Linked DNA regions of Saccharomyces cerevisiae S288C. The gene in region 4 interacts genetically with the main gene of each other region. Each region holds a gene or a part of one and is shown on either strand. Other genes may lie near its edges. The genes, in order: HAC1, UBC7, CNE1 and STE24.

Region 1 (8,432 bases), on a different chromosome or scaffold from region 4:
ATTATTTCATACTAATCAGAGTAGCCACGACAAAGACGCGTTGACAAGGGGAGGTTATAACGCATATCTGGAATCACTTTCTCGTTGTGACAGTGGAAAGGCAGAAGAACAAAAAGGAAAAGTTATATCAAAGTTATTAGAGAAAAAAGATGTCCGAGCTTTGAGGTACATAGGTTTAGGGCCTCTGGGGTTTGTAAACAACTCATTAAGAAAAGATTGTTGGTATGAATTATTGGCGTCCCAGTTGCTTATTGATGATGCAACAGAGTACATTACACCAGTGGAAAAACATAAAGATGAAGGTCAGGTGATATTGGATGCAGAAAGGTCTTTTGGTGGAATTGTCGACAAAAACTTGAAACTGCAATTGAGAAAACTACTGGTGGAGTTAATTACTCGGGTATTGAGAAAGTACCCAACGTTGAACTATTACCAAGGTTATCATGATATTGTGTCTGTTTTCATCATGTGTTTTAGTTGGAATGTCACAAAAGAGAACGGACTGGAACTAGAAAATCTCTCATTGCAAGAAGAAATTGATATGGAAAGGCTGTTTTATTGCATCGAAGCATTTACCCTATTATATCTGAGGGATTTCATGATGAACTCACTAGATTTTTCATTTGAGCAATTGAGAGTAATCTCTTCATTGATAAAGGAATCAAACATGAAATTCTATAATCTATTCAAATTTGACGAAAATGAGCCCCTTTTCGCTATTGGGTCAATATTGACAATCTTTGCACATAATTTGAAACCTATAGATAGCGGTGACAACAATCTTCATAAAATTCTTTTCCAGATATTTGACATGACAATATCGATGCAATCTATGCGTTTACCTTTGATCATATACAAGAACCTGCTATTGCAAAATGCGTCTGAAATTTCGAAGCAAATAGAAGCTAATTCTGATTTCTTCGAGAACGATTTTGACCTGCGCCATGGTGCTATACAAACAGTTTTACAGAAAAAACTGTATGATGAGGCGCTTTGGGAAGAAGTCTTGCAAATAACTAGAAAAGATGCGACTACTGCCAGCAAGAAGGCTTTGAAACGGGTGAGTCTTAATAAATATAGTGCATTACTCAATACAGCATGTGGAAAGCCAGGATGCTTCGATATGAGCACCATTATCTTCTATTTGAGCGAACAAACAAAGATGAACGAGCATTACAAGGAAGAAAAGTATCATGGTGTCGCCGCCAGATCCAAGACAAGGGCGTTGGTCCAAAGACTTGGCCATTTTTTACCCTCCAAATATAACAGGTGGAGCAAAATTTCTTTACTTATCGGGATTGTAGCTATCCTGTACCAATTACGGACTACAAGGTCGTTGAGTTTAGTACTCAATCTACGTTACATGATCTCCACAAAGTTGAAAGACTTATCACATATAAATATAAATTTGCACCACGTTAGTCACATCTGGGTGGATCCGATTAGGGACATTTTGAAACTGGGGCATCCAACTAGATAGCATACAATATACCTTATATACCCATGACATAGAAACAAACTCATATGTAAGGTATTATTATAAAGTGCTTCTTTAAAATTCGCTGCGGAAATTTCTTCGAGGATGACTCAAATAAGAAAAAACGAAAATTCTGAAAGAGAGATTTTTAGTATGGAGAAAACCAGTACTCCTGCATAAGATATCAAGATATTAGATAACTCTCAAGATGGTTTCCCAATTTGCTATTGAGGTGCGTAACCTAACGTACAAATTCAAAGAAAGCTCCGATCCGTCAGTTGTTGATATCAATCTTCAAATCCCATGGAATACAAGATCTTTAGTTGTGGGTGCCAATGGTGCTGGTAAATCCACCCTTTTGAAATTACTAAGCGGTAAGCATCTTTGCCTTGATGGAAAAATCCTGGTCAATGGTCTTGATCCATTCAGTCCATTATCTATGAATCAAGTGGACGATGATGAAAGTGTTGAAGATTCGACGAACTACCAAACGACCACTTATCTAGGTACGGAATGGTGCCATATGAGTATCATTAATAGGGATATCGGCGTCTTGGAACTATTAAAAAGTATTGGATTCGATCATTTTAGGGAAAGAGGTGAAAGATTGGTTAGAATCCTGGACATCGATGTACGTTGGAGAATGCACAGGTTAAGTGATGGACAAAAGAGAAGAGTTCAGTTAGCCATGGGGCTCTTGAAACCTTGGAGAGTTTTACTACTTGATGAGGTCACTGTGGATCTCGATGTTATTGCCAGAGCAAGACTTCTGGAGTTTTTAAAGTGGGAGACCGAAACCAGAAGATGCTCAGTGGTCTACGCTACACATATTTTTGACGGCTTGGCCAAATGGCCTAACCAAGTATACCATATGAAATCAGGTAAGATTGTGGATAATTTAGATTATCAGAAAGACGTAGAGTTCTCTGAAGTGGTCAATGCTAAAGTTAATGGACAAGTGGCCTTTGAAAATGACAACAATAAGGTTGTTATTAGTAAAGTGAATAGTTTGCATCCATTAGCACTAGAATGGTTGAAACGTGATAATCAAATTCCTGACAAAGAGATTGGTATATAACTGAGTATATATAACTGCAAAGACCCCCTGTATAGAAAATATGTATCTTAGTGGAAAATGTGATTTGACTATTTAAGTTATAGAAGTAGTTTGTGATCCTAAAAAAAGGAAAACGACAGAAGTCTCATAGAAGCAAAGAGGCCAGATGAAGAAGAGAGGCAACAAAATTCACGCCCATCTTAATGAAACTGGATAGTATAGACATTACACACTGTCAGTTGGTCAAATCTACTAGAACTGCTAGGATTTATAGGTCGGATACATATGCCATTAAATGTCTAGCACTAGATTTCGATATCCCGCCACATAACGCCAAATTCGAAGTATCGATATTAAACAAACTGGGCAACAAATGTAAGCACATCTTACCTCTTCTAGAGTCTAAGGCTACCGATAATAATGACCTATTGTTGTTGTTTCCCTTTGAAGAGATGAACCTTTATGAGTTCATGCAAATGCACTATAAAAGAGATAGAAGAAAAAAAAATCCCTATTACGATTTGCTAAATCCCAGTATCCCAATTGTTGCGGACCCCCCCGTTCAGAAATATACTAATCAATTGGACGTCAATCGGTATTCTTTGTCCTTTTTCCGGCAAATGGTTGAAGGGATTGCATTCTTACATGAGAACAAGATCATTCACCGCGACATCAAACCGCAAAATATCATGCTAACAAACAATACCAGCACCGTATCCCCAAAGTTGTACATAATTGATTTTGGCATCTCTTATGACATGGCAAATAACTCACAAACAAGTGCGGAACCCATGGATAGCAAGGTGACGGATATAAGCACAGGAATTTACAAGGCCCCAGAAGTGCTTTTTGGAGTAAAATGCTATGATGGTGGCGTGGACGTGTGGTCGTTGTTGATAATTATTTCTCAGTGGTTCCAGAGAGAAACAAGCCGTATGGGGCACGTTCCGGCCATGATTGATGACGGCAGCGACGACATGAACTCAGATGGAAGCGATTTCAGACTGATTTGCTCAATATTCGAAAAGTTGGGCATACCGTCCATTCAGAAATGGGAAGAGGTTGCGCAACACGGCTCGGTTGATGCATTTGTTGGTATGTTTGGTGCAGATGGCGATGGCAAGTATGTACTGGACCAGGAGAAAGATGTACAGATTAGCATTGTTGAGAGGAATATGCCTCGACTGGACGAGATTGCGGATGTCAAAGTCAAGCAGAAGTTCATTAATTGTATCCTGGGGATGGTTTCATTTTCACCAAACGAAAGATGGAGCTGTCAAAGAATCTTGCAAGAATTAGAAAAGCCATAATAAGAAGAATATATAGGTACATATATATATATATATATATATATGAAATGAAAAGTACGAGGGTAATCACTTTTTCCTCTGAAGAGCTAGTTTTATTAAGTCGAAGCAGTTCTTCATGTACGGTAAATTCTTGTTGCAAGCGGTCACACCCATATGTCCAATACGGATATACTTGGGTCCGATGTCCTTGTGAATACCTCCGGCAATGACTACACCGTGTGACTTTAAAAAAGCAATGACATCAGGAGGATCTGCTACGTATACGGCTGTCAACCCGTGCGCAGACATGTTAGAAGGATACCTACTGACGGATGTCAATTGCAAGCCATTAACCAAACTGTCTTTAAACCAATCACTCATTTCACGGTGCAAATCCCATCTCTTATGCAACCCCTCTTCGAGAATTTCTTTCAAGGCTACATCAAGGCTATTAATTAGTTGTACGGGTGGGGTTGCAAAATAAGCTCCTTTACCAGCCTCATAATTTTCCATTATTGGTGTCCATCTTCTCAACGAGGAAAAATACCCATGTACATGACCATTTTTGCTGTCGTTGAGTGCATAATCCATGAATCTGCTACTGCATAGCGAGATAGAAAGACCCGCTGGAGCGCCAATAGCCTTTTGCGAAGCAGTCAAGGCGAAATCCACCCCCCATTCATCAAATTCAAACTCTTCGCATCCAATCGAGCATACAGCATCGACTACGAAGAACGTTTCCGGCGAAGTCTGCTTAATCGCTTGCGAAATGGCTTTCAGATCGGACAGCACTGCCGTTGAAGTGTCAACGTGCGTAACCGTGACAGCCCCATAGCTATTTTGCGACAACTTTTCAGTAATCAGTTCTAAGGGAACTGATTCGCCTATCTTGAGGGGCCTAACAACATCTACTTGCGCACCGTAGCTACGCAGACAGTCAGCAAACCTGTCAGAAAATGTCCCAGTGGATACGACCAGCACGTTCTTGTTGGGGGCCTTCGAAAGAATAAAGTTCGAGGCAAATATGTCCCACCCCAACGTACCAGAGCCGGCAAGCACAAAAGGCTGAGACTTCGAGGCAGCAGCGGATTTGAAGACAGCTCTTGTGTTCTTTAGCACCCTTTGAAAAATAGAGACGAACTCAGGAGAGGTGTGGCCCAAAGAGGGAACGTCCAGGGCCTTCTGGACTGCTCCGCTTAGGATAATGGGGCCTGGGATCAGCAGCGTATCTACAGATTTAGTCATCGTTGGTGTATTTAGGCTATGGAAAAAGAATTATATGAGCTTTCGTCTTCAACCAGTGCGATTATATAAAGACTGCGGAACAGAACATTCTTGGCCACTCCTCGAGGAGGACTACAGAGAGCCGTGAGAGTGAGAGTGATATGATGACTAAGGTCCTTTCGAAGGTATTTGATATAGTTATCACTCATTGGCCCGGAGTTAGGGGGAGATGTTCGCTTGCGGGAGCACGGGAGAAGGAACAGAGCGGCGTTAGCATCAAGTCTAAGGTTGAAAAGCTGCCCAACCTAAGGGCATACATCAAGAATTCTTTATAGTTTTATATAAAAAAATATATATATAGATAAATAGACAGATAGATATGACACAAACAGATAGAAAAAAAGCAGAGCGTGGCTCTTTGAGGTGGAACCCCAGCCAGTCTTGCTCCTTGCAGCCAAAAAAGGGTCTTGTTCAAGAGCTATGTTCAGTGTCGCTGCCCAGTCGCCACAAATAATTGTAGGAGGGCGCGCCAACCTCACGTTTGCATTCTTGAAAAGCCTCTTCTTCTTCGGTTGAAGTAGCACACACTAACCGGAGACAGAACAGTAGAAACCACTAAGCGAAAAAGAAATATATGAAAAGAAAAAACCCACCAACAGCGATAATAACGAGAAAAAAAAAATTATACCCTCTTGCGATTGTCTTCATGAAGTGATGAAGAAATCATTCAATTCAAATGAATTCAAACCTGACTGCGCTTCGGACAGTACAAGCAAGCCGTCCATTTCTTAGTAATAAGAAAAGAATGGCTCTATTTGTTCAGGAAAAACTAGCATAAAAGAAAAAAAGAAAGCTTCCAATAACCCTGCATTCTGCTTTTGAAGGTACTTTAACCGGCTCCTCCCCCATCAGAGAACCACGACTAAAAAAAAAAAAAAAGAAAAAAAGCAGAAAGCAAAAGCTGGGGCTAGTGTTCTTGTTCACTGTAGTTTCCTGGTCATCGTAATCACGGCTGGATTACGCCAATTGTCAAGATCAATTGAATTGTCAAAGGGTAGACTGTTTCCCGCTATATCGTCGCAGAGTGGGTCTGCCAACGGCGAGGCCACCGCATCAAACAAATTGTTGTTGTCTACGGCAGGTAGCGTCGTCGACTCTGGTACATTTTCCGTCTTAAACATCTGCAGCTCCCATGAAGTCTCTTGGTCCGACGCGGAATCGCGCATACTCTTGGGCGACAAAGTCGCAGGCTCCATTGTACAGTTCAGAGGTGAAGGTGTGAACGTATCAGACGACGAGTGCGAACTGGCCCTGGTGTCCAGTGAAGCGCCCCTCGTGCTCTGGAAATCCCTGTACTCGTCAAGAGAAGCAACAAAAGCGTCGTGGCTGCAAGTCAACGCGTCTTCGTGGTCAGCCAGTTTTTCAAGGTTGACGCTGTTCAGTAAATTTTCCAAAAGAGAACATTTTCTCTCGAGATACTGCAGATGTAGTCTTTTTTTCTCTCTGCTCTGGTGAGCAGCTCTTCTGTTTCTCAAAATACGCTCGATCCTTCGCTGTTCCTTTTCCTCTTTTGTCTTGGCTCTTTTCCTTGGAGGCAGAGTCGACTTGAAGTTGGTAGGGATAGCCAAGTTCGATTGCGAATTACTAGTTAGTTCAAAATCAGTCATTTCCATAGTGGCGGTTGTTGTCGTAGGTGGGGGAGGAGGAGGTTGTTATGTTTGACACTGAGTTAAAGCCTTGGAAGTTTAAATAAAACAAGAAGACAAGAAGAAAGGAAAATTTCGCTAAAAAACATATTTCTGTATTCATTTCTCGAGTTGTCCATTGAGGTGAAATTTCTTCTAATATATAGTGAATGTAGGGAGCGAGAACAAAAGAGAACAAGGTGTTCAAAACCACGTTCATCACTCGGTACGATGTATATTTGCGACTCTTTTTAGCCCTACTTAATGCTGAGCCACTTTGCCTTACAACCCTCATAAATGTATTTTTATCCTAGCTTCTTTTTCCATATTGCCCTAGGTCTTGTTTATTCATGTCACGTGACTATATTTCCAGGTTTTTCTTTTTTTCCTCGTCCCTTTTGTGGGAAAAGAAAGCGTCCTTACTAAAAATGAGGGAGCTTTAACTTTAATATACAGCTTTTGGCAGCTTGGTGTTGTTTTTCATTGTAAAAATAAGTTGTTGTTCGTATCACAGCATTTTCAACTTCTGCATTGTCTGCCGTTTTTTGTATAGATATAGACGTATATATATATACAGAATTCTCTATCCTCTTAACCACTCCTGGAAGGCCTGCTGTAGAGGTTCTGGTGGGTGCTTTTACTGAATTCCTAACTCATCAAGCATTTTCCCTTTTTTTTTTTCCCTTTCCTTTCTCTTGCCTCATTTGATAGAATAGATAAGCCCAGTAGAGGAAGACAGATGTTCAATAGAAGTAACACCGCAGGCGGATCTCAGGCTATGAAAGAGGGACTTGGCATAAACAAGCTCTCCCCGATATCATCGAATTCGAACCCAAGCTCATTGACTTCCTCCAATTATGAAAAATATCTGCAGCTGGCCACAGAGAAGAATCCGTGTATGATCTTGGAGCTGGAACTGGACGGCAAGGTGCGATATGGCTCTCCACAGTGGAACACGATCACAGGAGTCGCCGATGATAGTGGCTCTTCTCCGACGTACATTGCAGACCTTATTCTCGGATCCGATCAAGATAAAGGTGTCTTTCAAAAGGCCACAGACATGCTGCTCATGAATGATGACACCAGTTGCACTATAACGTTCAAGATAAAGGCAGCCGACTATGAAGGTAGCGCAGGCTGTGACGATGAAAGTACGATAACGACCTTGGAAGCACGTGGTATCTTAATCAGGGATGGCCACACACAGTTGCCCTCTCACACGATGTGGATAGTCAAGCCTCGCACAAACGACTGGTCAGACTTTTATGCCAACGAAGACGCTCAAGACGACATGGTCATCCAGTTATCCGATAATTGCGACGATATCGATATCCAACTTCCCGAAGAGTTCGCCAAGACGCTTGGGTTCGGCGCTAAGATCTTCGTGCAGTACTTGAAGAGAATACGACTGGAAATGATAATAGACGAGTTCAATCTACCTCTGCCAAAAATGGAACTATGCCGGGTCTGTGAGAACTTTGTCCCTGTTTGGTGGTTGGAGACCCATTCGCAAAGTTGCGTTTGCGAGCATAGAACGGAATCGCTCATACAATTACTACACGATAATCTTCTTGAGCAACAGGCGATCTTGGCAAACTTCACGAAAGATTCAGAGTATAAGGGCAGTCAGATACAGGTACGTTCCAACAACTTCCTTAACCAAGTTTTAGACTCCTTAAGAGAGCTGTGTCAGGACGCCA
Region 2 (2,984 bases), on a different chromosome or scaffold from region 4:
TCAATCAAGTGCCGATGCAAGTCCTGTCATTGTTTCCAAAAGAGTGTCAGAGATTCTCAAAAACGACGTACTGTACGGCTTGGAAGAGTTTTTCAAATCCAAAGATTTCCATAATGATATAGTATTGGCCACAGAAAATTTGAGGTATGCATCCGATGGAATAGCTAAGATAACAGGACAAGCTATTGGTATTGAGGAAATCTTAGATTCAGTGTTCAGCAAATTTTGTATAGGAAAATAACCTAGTTACAATCATCGTGTATATAAATAAAAGAAAATTGATTAACGCTTCGGTACAGAGAGGTGAGAGTAGAGGGGCCCCTGATTATACACCAACGAAATGGAAATGGTTTGAATTCCTGAAAAGCCAGGAAGACATTGAGATTTTAACATATTTATTATGTGACATTTGCTTTCTTTTAGATGGTAGATATGCTTATTTATGTATATAGAGAACAGTTAAAAGGAAGACCAAATGATCATTAACCTGCTACCTGCTTTCAGAATCCTAATGATTTCAAAATGGATAACTTTACCTGTCTCTCAAATTCAGGTCTATTATCTCTCCACAAGATGCAAGCATCAATGTTGGCACCACTTTCGATATTGGGCTCACTCAACATGCTCATAACACTTAATAGAATTTTTTCTACACTTTGCACTGGCGACCATCTTTCTTCCGCTAATTCGTACATGTTAGGATCATCACCAGGGGAGTGTAGAATGGATATGCACACTTCCCCATTTGGATAAATATTTGGATGTAGTATGCTGGGTGTGAAAGTAAGTTTAGGTGGAGATAACGGATAGTCTTTAGGAAACTCTAGCTTAGCATTAAAAACACCATCAGCGTATGGCGTATCTGGAGGCCCTTGAATTAGGCAGTCCCAAATGAATATGTTATTCTCCGATTTGGGACCAGCCACTATACCAGGTGGAGAATCTTTAATTAACTGTTGAAGCTCCTTGAGGAGACGTTTCTGAGCGGTTTTCGACATGCTATGCCCTTCCAAATTACACTATTACTAGGGAAGTTCCTTTTAGGATAATCTCCTTCGTACGCTAAACGCCAGAGTTTACTTTGGCGCTTTTCGAGCTCTTGGTTTAGAGGCTGTAATCTCGTTTTCGGGTAATGGCGAAAAGGAGTTATAAGAAGGATCTCGAGACAATAAGCTGCTGCATCTTCGTGAGGTAGATGCGATGAGGCGCCTTGTTTTAAACTTGAAACAGTCTGGTAAGTTCTTCAAGCTCTATCAGAGATGATAATATTTAATGGGAACAAATATGCGTGTGCATCGTGCATCAGAGGGCATCGCTCTTCAACATGCAGGCATTCTCACCGAATGCTAATTAAGGTGAGAACTAGAGGAAGACCTTCACCCATGGCTATCAGAGACGCTATTTTAGTAGACTCTACATCGCAAAGTACAGAATACGAAAATGGTGCACAAATTGAAGGTGACTGCTGCAGCGCAATGAATCAACAGCCAATACTGTTTGTACGTGCCTCTGCTGTTAGAAAGGCAAGAATGATAAACGGAAAATTGCATATATTAATGGAGGAAGGTTTCACTGCTCATGAGCCTAAAGATATTAGCACATTTACCGATGATGGTAACAAATATATCACCGAAACGGAGTTTCTTAGGAAACACTCTCCCAAAGCTCCGGCAACAGGAACAATATCTCCGGACTCTACCAAGTCATCTTCTTCAAGTGAGAAGAAAGAGCGAAGCCGGCTTCAACAGGAGCCTATACGACATTTTTCAAACTGCTGTAAGAAAGATAAATCACAGAACCCAGCTTCTAATGGCAAGACGAACAAGGCACCGTCTGATGACATATTTACGCCATACGGCTCCTTGGAATCTACGTCCGCTTTTAACGATATTTTACAAGAAAACTACAATAGTTCTGTTCCTGGTGCGCATGACAGTTCAGAAACACTCACCCCACAAAGTACAACAACGATTGCTGCTCCTCATTCAAGCGACGTTGCTTCGAAAGTTGAAGTCCTGACTCATAAGGGCATTTTTTTAAGCACGCAGTGCTCTTGTGAAGATGAAAGCTGCCCATGTGTTAATTGTCTAATCCATAGAAGCGAAGAGGAACTGAATTCTTATATTCAACAAAGTGGTGTTCCTTTAACCAATATTGGTGAAGCTCAAATTACTGATAAGATGATGGATTATTTGGATGATTGTAAATGCACTGACAAGGAATGCATATGTCCTCCGGATAACTGCACTTGTGATGGATGTTTTTCTCACTCTACAAATATAATTCCATTTGAAAAATTCTTTTTCTATGGAATTCTGAATGCAAGATTAACAAGGAAAACTCAAATAAAATTCAAAGGTAAATTGGTGCCGTCAAAATATTGGTGGGATTTTTTGAAGTTGCAAGTGCCATTGATGACAGATGCTCAGTTAGAATTACTTGACATTCATGCGTGGTTTCAAAAATTAGTCTCTAATTATGCACCACATCTAAGCGATGCCACCACTTCATAAAATCACGTAAATACAGATAGAAAACACATTGAGGCAACAGGAATGAAAATGCACCCTACTACTCTCTGAACCACCATATGATAATATTCCAATCTATTGTGCTTAACATTAAAATTGTTCAAACTTGGTATAAGCAACAAGTGGGAGAATTAGGTGTACCTCAAATTTTTGAAAAAGCACAGAGTGTTACTAAAAATTTTAATATGTATGTATATCCTTTTCTAGCCGTCAAAAGTGTAAGTAATTTCGAAAAAATAGATTCTATTTCAGTAAGTCAGAGATTCGAGTCGCCTCCCGTCTTCCGCTTTCCCAAGCACCATAGGCACAGCCGGCGCCGTCCATGATAGTATGTTCGCCTGCAAATCTTATGCGGGAGTCTTGACCATTAGACATTGCAACAACCATATCAACTGGATCATCTCCTGGAAAACAGGCCGAATAAGCACCGCGTGAGTAAGGATCGCGTGTCCA
Region 3 (3,711 bases), on a different chromosome or scaffold from region 4:
CCTTGTCACCAAATATCTCTTTACCAAAAAGCGCGAAAATAGAAAGATAATTCGTCACGTATGGCAAAGGTTCAAAGCAATGATCACCCAAAGATCGAGAGGTTTCTATTCGTTCTTCGCCTTCCAACGCTGATGAAAATGGTGATACAGCGACTCTGTTTCTCTCATAGGGGCTGTATCCACCGTCGTTCCATGGTGAACTGGAAATTTCCATGCCTATGATTTAGTAATGCGACAATGGACCTGCCAATGAATCACAATCTTTACTATTCTATTCCGTCTTATCGGGGATGCTAGTTGTTCTATGTTCGCTTAATTACGGGTTTTTCTTGTTGCATGATTACTTACTGCATGAAAAAATAAGATTTAACATCGGGTAAGTATTATACATCATCATTTAATCATGATGATAATATTGATACTATAATGTTAACCATCTATAAAAGAGAAGCCGTTGTGGTGCAATTATTGAGACCATGTTATAAACTAACACTTGTCCACTATGTAAATACTACACAACAAAGAACCGACGTCGTCAAGAGCACGACGGCCGCAGTAAGCACAAATTTCAGAGGTTGCTCTAATATGCGATCTATAATGCGGTCAAATGGATTAGGGGATTCTCTTTCGTTATGGAAAGTTGTTTGTAGATTTCCTAGTCTGCTATTCATGAATTTGCGTTCTGTGGGGCCATCGGAGCCTCTAAACGCGCGGTCTCTCATCAGCCAAGTCTTATTCCCAATAATTTGCGCCTCTGTTACATTTTTACCAACATAAATGTTGCTTATCAACATGTTTGGAGATCCACTCCAAAACTCGAGGATCACACCACTGATAACGTTTTCGATGCGCAATGGGTGCTGCTCTTCGTAGTATAGCGGGTTTTCAATTTCCGGTGGATGCCATTCCCCCATGTAATTGGGATTTATGATTTCATTGAGTTCGCCTGGACCTTTGTACTTGGCATTATTTATCAGCCCTGGTATCTGCTGGCCACAACCACGTTCTGCAGTGCAAAGAGGATTTTTAATCATGGGCGGTATCCATTCCCCGTGCTCAAGTTCCTTCCACCACGAGGGCTTTTGAGCATTTGGGTCAAGAATGTATTCGGGGATGGAGCTGTTCCATTCTGGTGGTTCAGTGCCATCTGGATGTGGAATCATCAATGGGTCTCGTTCATCCCGATCACTGAGCTTCACCGCCTCAGGATCTGGGATTCGGATGCGATCATCCCAATCATGCGGTTTCGCTACTGAAACATCAGGAATCATTAAAGGCGGTGTAATGGGTGGCTCAAAATTGACCTTTTTCTTGTCTTCGATATGTTCTCTTACCATAACCGTCTTACCGTCTATAAGAATTTGAAAAGACTGCGCTGATTCATCTATTATGAGCGTATACAGATGAGATTGCGAGGTATCAGTTAATTTTGACAGGGGCATCTCTTGCAAATATCTTAGTTTAGATTCATGTGTGATCTTGTCAACCTTATTGATGGCAAATTGCACGCCATTTATTTCAGGAGCACAATAATCCGGACCAAAAACTAACTCGACACCCTCTGTATCGGGTGCATAGTGTTTTAATGCTTCAACATTCATGAAACCAGACATTAACTTAATAAACGCACCGCCGCACGTCAAAGAATTGTCCAACTTAATTTCGTACTGGACAACCAAGGTATCCGTTTCTGAAACATTAATAGGTGTCTCCAAGAGATGTCCTATCATAGCTGCGGCATTGCCTGTTCGAACTGCGATTCCTTTATCCCATGCGGATCCTTGCAATCGACCCTGTGATAGTCGCCATTGTGCACCATATATTTTAGAGCCTTCATTGTTGACGGCTTCACTTGTGATCCACTCTTGGTTTAAATGCTTTGTATTAGTGTAAGCCTGAAAATGCTCCCAGAAAGAATCTTCCGCTAATGTAACGTTGGATAGCAATGAAGTGCCTTTCACCAACGCTAGATTCAAAAACAGCCACCATAAATACGCAGAAAATTTCATAGTACTACTTTGTGTGGCCGTTATCTATATTAGAAATGCGTTGCCGTTCACTTTTTTACACAATCCTTAAACGACATGCATCACACGGTTTTCAGCTAACCCATAATAATTTTCTTTTTCTTAATCAACTTGATATTGAAAAAGTTGTAACTATTAATGAAGTTTTTCAATAATAGTATACATCCAGATATATAAAAAATAAAATAAAACTAAGCTAAAACCATGTTATCTAATGTACAAAGAATGAAAGAAGATAGAAAAAAGAAGAATGCGTACAAGAATCGTGTATTCCTAGGACCTTTCATATGAAAATTTTCTATTCTTCAACATCGTCTGGCAGGACACCGAATCTATTTGTAGGAGTCTTCTGCACTGTGTTATCCTCTGCTAAAGAGTCAAAAACTTCTGGGATCTCCTCATCTTCCTTTTCAGCATTACCTTCACTAGCACTTTTTGCCTGCACAGACAACCCTCCGTTCAAAAAAGCCAGCTCTTTTTTTATAGTCTCATTGGTGCTATCCCAGCCAGCCTTTCTTGTATTTTGAATGTACTTGGCACGAGAAATGGACTTGGCAATTTTACCGTCCAGACGATTGGTAAAATTCAAGGCCTTCACTAAACGATCCCTGTCCATGGATGAAATAGAGTTGGCCAGTTTGTCTTCCAGAGCCTTTTTATTTAACTTCTTGCCCCTCTTACTTTTATTGGCTTTCTTAGATATCTTTGCTTCCAGCAATGCCTCATTCTTGGCTGCTGTTCTAATCAAAATATTAGTCAAATCGGTTTTTTCAGCTCTAGGTAGTTCACTTAAATCCTTTACCTCTGGTTCAAGAGCATCCGATTGTCTAGCAGCTCTTGAATTCTTTGATATTTTCTTGGCCATGCTTTGTTTTAGACGATATCTTACCAGTATAGTCAAGGAAAAAACTACCTTTTGTCGTCTTTGTTCCCACATTCAATACTTCTAAAGGGTCCTTAACCAAAAAAATTTTCAGCTCATCGCCAAGTTGAATAAAGGAAAAAAAAAGAAGAAAAAAAAAAATAATATAGTCGCAGAAACTTACTTCTGTCTGTTTCATAACAACAAATATTATAAAAGAAAATACATAATCTTAGATACTACAAATGAGCCGCGAGGGGCCCCAAATATTATTTTGTCATTACTTCATTTCACCGTGATTGTTAGGCGTCAATAGAATCTTAACGTTGGATTCCTTGTGATCCATCAACTCTTGGAATCCCTTTTCCCAACCGTCCTCAATCCTTTGCTTACCAGTGATTAGTTGCTTACAATCTTCCATGGCGATGTCTCCGTTGTGGATGGCACGAACAACTTCTTCGAAGTCTTCGACAACATAGCCGATCGAACCAGTCATAACTTTCTCTTGGAGAGTCACATCCATTGGTTGGAATGGGACAGGTTTTGGACCCCAAACTGCAATGTTGGTGGCTGTCCCCTTGAATGTTAATGCCTTCAAAGAGGTTTCGAAAGTAACTTGAATACCAGAACAATCATAACTGTAATCAAACCCATCATGGCTCTTGGTCAAACCACGTAGTATCTCTATAGATTTATGACCGTGCTTGGAGGGATTGAACACCTCAACGCCCAGTTTCTTGGCCATTTCTATTCTTCTCTCTGCAATTTCAGACACTACAATTTTACTAGCCCCCATTCCCTTAAGTACCAAAATGGTACACA
Region 4 (6,436 bases):
CCCTAGGTGTAACCAGAAGAGATTAGGAGGGCTTAGGGCCAGTATTTTATCTGATGTAGGGCAAACGAGTAAAATGTGTAGGGTATGGGCTAATATCAAGGGCTTCGGACTTACTGCCCCGCTCACAGAAACAGCCGCACTAATTAATTTCTTTTGTGTAACGTTAAAGTAACCCTGGAATCATCATTGAAAAATTATCATCCCAAGAGACAGAGATGTGCATGTTGACAACGCAGGCTCAATGTAGAATAAGATCTGACTACTTAGTCAATTTTACCTCTAGATCATATTAACTAATCTCATCTTGCACAAAAAACGTATCACTATCATGGAGGAAATTCCTGCCCTGTATCCAACGGAACAAGAATTCAAAAATCCGATCGATTATCTCTCTAACCCCCACATTAAAAGGCTTGGTGTACGATATGGTATGGTCAAGGTCGTACCACCAAACGGGTTCTGCCCGCCACTTTCTATTGATATGGAAAATTTTACTTTTCAACCAAGAATTCAAAATCTGGAGAACCTAGACCTGAAAAATAGGTGTAGGCTATTTTTTATGAAACAGTTAAATAATTTTAAAAGATCCGTTAAGGATCCATCGAAACTTATACTTAGGGAACCTTATACGATTGTAGAATATTCAGATTCTACTCATGCATCGGAAATACTAAAAAAAAAAGTGTACTTTTATGACGTTTTCTCTGAACTAATAAAAGACAATCGGACACTTACTGACACTACACAGTCATTCAGGCGAAAATTGAAATTTAGAGATATTTCCCAATTAAGAGGCGACATCAGTCTATGGAGGACCATTTCTAAAAAATTCAACGTACCAATCGGCTTGTTAAAGGAAATTTTTGAGAAATATATTGCCTCATACTACATATTTCTTCATTCACTGAACGAGAACGTGCACACGGCGCTGCATGCTGACCAGTATCCAAAATCCTTATTAAGTGATGACGAGGACGATTTCGATCTTGGGCCAGATTCGAATTCTGGGTCGGATTTTGAGGAGGACGATGATGATGCTTGTATTGTTTGTCGCAAGACAAATGATCCAAAAAGAACAATTTTATGTGATTCATGTGACAAACCATTCCATATATATTGTTTATCACCACCTTTGGAACGTGTTCCCTCTGGCGATTGGATTTGTAACACTTGTATCGTCGGAAACGGATATTACGGATTCACTCAGGACACGCATGACTATTCTCTACCAGAGTTTCAAGAATATTGTAAACGTCAAAATTCAAGGTTATTACCAGCACGAAAACTGTCTATAGATGAGTTGGAAGAGATGTTTTGGAGCTTAGTGACCAAGAATCGTCGCAGTTCATTAACGACAGTTAAATACGGTGCTGACATACATAACGAATTGCCAGGTCAAATTACCGGCTTTCCGACGAGAGAATTTATACCCAAAAATATAAATGGGGACGAATTGATAGACTACCTCAAATATTGCGATCATCCTATGAATTTAACTAACTTGCCTATGGCTCATAATTCGCTATTACCGTTATTTAAAAGAAATATTTCTGGCATGACTATTCCTTGGATTTACATAGGCTCCTTATTTTCCACATTTTGTTGGCATATGGAAGATCAGTATACCCTAAGTGCTAACTATCAACATGAAGGTGACCCTAAGGTCTGGTACAGCATTCCCGAATCGGGATGTACGAAATTCAACGATCTATTAAATGATATGTCACCAGACTTATTTATCAAACAACCAGACCTACTGCATCAGCTAGTGACTTTAATATCTCCGTACGATCCAAATTTCAAGAAATCAGGTATTCCTGTGTACAAAGCTGTGCAAAAGCCCAACGAATATATTATCACGTTTCCTAAATGTTACCATGCTGGTTTTAATACAGGTTATAATTTTAATGAAGCTGTCAATTTTACTATAGATTTCTGGCTACCATATGGATTTGGTGCGATTACGGATTATAAATTAACTCAGAAAGCATGTGTTTTTGATATGTTTGATTTAATGATCAATGTTTTGGACAAGTACAATAAAGATACTCTATTGTTCAATGATGCTTTTGTTAGGCAATGTTACTCTTCATTGATCGTCTTTTATAATACTGAATTAAAACGCATACGGAAAATTCAGGCCATTGTACCACGGACAACTCTTTTGGAGGTGCATACTGATCCAAACGATGAAGATGAGGAATACGATATATTTTGTTCCCAATGTAAGACTATATGTTCAATAGCCTTTGTATTGCGAAAGAATAACTATGATTCAATTAGAACGTATAAAAGACACAAGAAAAACCATTTAAGTATTAGGCAGTGGAATGAACTATCCACGACGGACAGTAAAGTGAGTATCCTGTGTACGCAGGATTACTTAAAATCAATACAAAACTTGAACAATAGCGACGGTGAAGAACCTTATATTGACGATGAATTGTATTTCACTAAGTCTTTGAAGGATATTGACTCTTTAATAAAGCAAGTTGGTGTTAAGTTAGATAGATAGTCTTCAATATTTGTGTATGGCGTAATGATTTTTTAGAATAATACTTGGCATTTAGCACGCCACTTTTAGCGCGAAAACACCAAAAAAGTAAAGAAAATAATGTCGATCAATCTTTAAAGAGAGACAATTGAATGGTAGTGTAACAATTTACAACATAATAGAGTATCGCATTCAGCAAAAGTAAAGAATAAATTCTAAGAAAATGGCTCAAGCCTTGAACTCCACCAATATTGCTTTTTTCAGAGTAGCATTTTTATTCACGATCGCCTTCTTTTGTTTAAAGAACGTTAATTCTATTTTGCAAAATACATATTTCATAGTCTTAACGCAAGCGATGAATTTACCGCAGTTAACACTGTCACGTTATAGTGGTCAATTGGGTCTTTTCGCTCTTCTGTTTACTCTTAACGGTGTTCATGATCTAATTCCCCTGTTAGAAAACAATGTTAAATACTTCCAATCTGTTGTGCCAGTTAGATTACTAATTTTTTTTATTTTGACAAGTATCTCGTACCTTTGGGAGTCAAACTTTTACGTTCACAATAACTCTGTTTTTATTTACTGTTTTGCAGAAGTTTGGATAAATTTTCTTTTGTATAATGCCATTAGGGAGGAGAAAAATGAAGAGTTCAAAAGATTGAACCAATTCATGGTTAATGATGAGGATATTGAAGAACCCCAACCATTTACCGTGAAGACTGAAACCACAGAAATCATTGAAATAATCAATGATGAAGAAAATGACGATGAAGATGGGAAAGATAATGATGATAACAATGAGAAAGGTAATGATGATAGCGATGCAAAAAAATAAAATGTTTAATCGTTTATTTTTTCTTTCCTTTATTCTTATAGTAGATACCTGTGTATGTATGTAGATATAGACATAACGAAGCTGAATTTAACGGTACATGCTAATATGTGTACTCTATAGATTAGTTTTTCTTCTTTTCACTAACATAGTCTAGAGCGGTCAATCTTTCAGCTAGAGTTGGATGGGAATAATGATAGCTAGAATACAGAGGATCTACATTCATGGTGGAAAGGTTTTTGATTTGTAGATCAATTAGAGCCCTACATAGATTTTGCTTGTAGCCCAATTTTTTAGCATAAGCATCAGCTTGATATTCATGAGTTCTGGAAATTAAACTCATCACGAATTGCATGGCACATTCGAGTGGAGTTAATAAGTCGTTAAATAACATAAATCCAATGATAATGGGGAATTCCTTAGTGATAACGGGATCAACAAAACTGCCAGTGGACTTCTCTAAGAAAAAGCCGAAGGTGTTGTAAAATGATGTATTTCTGTAGATGCTGGTGAAAAGGGAGAAAATGAGGAAGGTGTGCAATTGACTAAAGATGACCATATTAACGATGTGGTTTTTTTGCCAGTGACCGATTTCATGGGCCAAAACAGCCGTAATTTCATCAGTAGAATTACTGTTCACTAAAGTGTCGAACAAAACAATTCTCTTGGAGGTGAATGGCAAACCTGTGAAATATGCGTTTGAATGAGAAGATCTTTTTGAGCCGTCAATGACAAAAATCTTATCTAGAGGGAACCCAACTCTATCGGCCAAACTTTCAATAGATTTTTTCAGTTCACCGTCCTCCAATGGAGTGAACTTATTAAACATGGGCATGATGAAGACTGGAATGATTGTCATGGCTAAGATTTGGACAACGAACAAGAAGACCATAATGTACCAAAGGAAATCAGTAGGGAATTTATCAAAGATCTTAAGGAACAGGTAAAGGATTGGGCCACCAATAGCATACGCCAAAGTCAGACTCTTGATCATATCGGTGATCCATAGTTGGACGGTCAATTTATTGAAACCAAATTTTTCTTCCAGGACAAAATGGCTATAGTAAGAGAGTGGCAAATCAACCAAGGTAGACAAACTGGATAAGAGACCCAAGAAGCATAAACTCTGTGCGACAGTGGAGACCATATGAAATCTGACTGGCAGGACTGCATTCAATAAAGAAACGGCCATGTGCCAGATTTTAGGGAAGAGGTCGTATTTGATGAAAACTAGCTTTTGGGCTAGGTTATAGACGTCACCGAAAATGGAGAACTTGGCCTTGGCCCGGGAGTAGTTCCTTGATTTATGAAAAGTTTCATCATCAATTTCGTCTTCCAGCACAGGTGGCAACTTTGTTTCAGATAGCTTCTGGTACTGTCTGTACGTCAAGTAAGATTCGAAAGAAAATTGGGCAATCGAGAACCCAGAAATGATTAATTTCCACGGGATATTAGGATGGTCGAGAATCGTCTTAAGATCAAACATGAATAAAGGCCTGCAGTTTTCTATTTCCTCCTTTTTTTTCCTTCCTTTTCCTGTTAATTATAGAAGTGGTTTATAATTCGCGAACTTTTTCTCTTGTTCGTTGTCTTTTTTTTTTTATTTCCCGTCGATTTTTTTCTGGAGAAAATGGCAGAACAGAGACGAAGGAATTAGAGTTTTTGAGTAAATGACGTAGAAAAAGAGGGAAAAGTTTAATTGCCTCTTTTTGGTTAATAGGAATGAATATACAAGTTTACATATATGTATATTTGTATGTATGTATGTAGATGTATGTGTGTGTGTGTGTAAGGCGTTTCGTTGTTGAAGATAGAAAAAAAGGTAGGTTTAGTCTAGCTTCGACGTTGGGGCTGGTTTTGCAAGTTTCTTGGCGATTCTAATCATCTTCTTGAACCAAAGCACGTTCAAAAGGTTCATGAAAATGTTCAGCGACATCATCGTGACAGCAGAAAACTTGGGTAACTCGTCTCTTACCTTCCACATCTGCCTGAATAAGAGAGCGGATGCGATGGAGCCCCAGCAAATCCTGACGACGAAAAACACAGTCATGAGCAAAAGGCCATTGACGACATTAAACCACAGAGGGATAGAGTTCTTGCTCTTGGCGTTACATTGCATGATGAACCAATTGATGTTCACAAAGGGAGTGGAGGCCTCGTAGATAAGGAACCTGCCGATCCAGGGTTGGCAGAACGGTCTTAAGGACAACAGCATCACATATACGGAGCCAATGGCGTGGCCCGTGAACTCGAGACCATAAAGCTTGAAGTAACGCACGCACATAGTCAAGTCCCAGATAAAGTACCCTGCGCTGAGGGAAGATACCATTGAACTGTACGAATCTGTGTAGGTGACAACATTATAATGCATTGGCGTCGTGAGGGTGGGCAACAGGACGGTGTTCGAGACGACAGCCTGGATCATCGAGACGGTGTGGACATTGAAATCAATTTTCAGCAGTGGGTCACGGATCGTGGTGTAGTGCTTGCGAAAGACCACTTTATTCAAGAACGGTGCGACAACGGAGAATGCGAGCTGGTAGAAGACGAAGCTGAAGATGATCTCATGCAAATGAGCCAGTATTAAATTAGACGAATGAGGGAAGAAGGACAGCTTTTCGAAGGGGCTGGTGAGGCCGATTGCTGTCGTGGTAGAGTTGGCGTTCATTGCGGCAAGAGCGATAGCTTAAAAATATTGTTTTTTTTTTCTCTTTTATTAAACTATGTTTTATACTGTTATGTTGCGTTGAGTTATGTCAAAATATTATGTTGCCTTGTATGTTTTTGGACCCGACAAAAACACAGGCTGAAAAGAAACACGTATGTATGTATATGTATATAAACATATGTGTGCATATATAAGTGCACGTATAGAAATAATATGCGATAAAAGTCTATTGTTCCTGGCTCATAAAACCTAGGAACTGAACGAGTTTTTTTCTTTGGTGATTCTGGCGTGATTCAACATTCGTATGCGATGACGGGCAGATCCGCGTCGTAAAAATGTTCTTAAGAAAGGAAAAGGGGAAAATGCATGCTAATCACATAATGCTAATGGGCCGGATGTTATTAGTGAGAGGAGAAGAGTCGCTGGATGCTGGGGAAGCGGA

The links.
Region 1: mutations in STE24 (region 4) and HAC1 together harm fitness more than expected from each alone (negative genetic interaction), as found in Saccharomyces cerevisiae (6 studies listed by BioGRID, with this or other methods).
Region 2: mutations in STE24 (region 4) and UBC7 together harm fitness more than expected from each alone (negative genetic interaction), as found in Saccharomyces cerevisiae (5 studies listed by BioGRID, with this or other methods).
Region 3: mutations in STE24 (region 4) and CNE1 together harm fitness more than expected from each alone (negative genetic interaction), as found in Saccharomyces cerevisiae (5 studies listed by BioGRID).

The regions. Positions count from the first base shown.
Region 1 is NC_001138.5:73,467-81,898, reverse strand, and holds HAC1 (transcription factor HAC1), read right to left. Parts: upstream 6,721-8,432; coding exon 6,060-6,720; intron 5,808-6,059; coding exon 5,752-5,807; downstream 1-5,751. Other genes in the region: GTPase-activating protein GYP8, read left to right, coding at 1-1,480; putative ATP-binding cassette family ATPase CAF16, read left to right, coding at 1,686-2,555; cyclin-dependent protein kinase-activating kinase CAK1, read left to right, coding at 2,738-3,844; AGX1 (alanine--glyoxylate transaminase), read right to left, coding at 3,911-5,068; protein kinase RIM15, read left to right, coding at 7,472-8,432. UniProt on the Saccharomyces cerevisiae protein: Transcriptional activator involved in the unfolded protein response (UPR) pathway. Recognizes and binds to the UPR element (UPRE) in the promoter of UPR-regulated genes such as KAR2, PDI1, EUG1 and FKB2.
Region 2 is NC_001145.3:316,694-319,677, reverse strand, and holds UBC7 (E2 ubiquitin-conjugating protein UBC7), read right to left. Parts: upstream 999-2,984; coding exon 501-998; downstream 1-500. Other genes in the region: MSS1 (Mss1p), read left to right, coding at 1-241; MAC1 (Mac1p), read left to right, coding at 1,260-2,513; FMS1 (polyamine oxidase), read right to left, coding at 2,775-2,984.
Region 3 is NC_001133.9:35,762-39,472, reverse strand, and holds CNE1 (calnexin), read right to left. Parts: upstream 2,010-3,711; coding exon 501-2,009; downstream 1-500. Other genes in the region: GPB2 (Gpb2p), read right to left, coding at 1-214; ECM1 (Ecm1p), read right to left, coding at 2,326-2,964; BDH1 ((R,R)-butanediol dehydrogenase), read right to left, coding at 3,170-3,711. UniProt on the Saccharomyces cerevisiae protein: Interacts with newly synthesized monoglucosylated glycoproteins in the endoplasmic reticulum. It may act in assisting protein assembly and/or in the retention within the ER of unassembled protein subunits.
Region 4 is NC_001142.9:640,383-646,818, reverse strand, and holds STE24 (zinc metalloprotease), read right to left. Parts: upstream 4,813-6,436; coding exon 3,451-4,812; downstream 1-3,450. Other genes in the region: JHD2 (histone demethylase), read left to right, coding at 329-2,515; ILM1 (Ilm1p), read left to right, coding at 2,718-3,329; TDA4 (Tda4p), read right to left, coding at 5,155-5,994; YJR115W (uncharacterized protein), read right to left, coding at 6,368-6,436. UniProt on the Saccharomyces cerevisiae protein: Proteolytically removes the C-terminal three residues of farnesylated A-factor mating pheromone. Also acts to cleave the N-terminal extension of the pheromone. Does not act on Ras.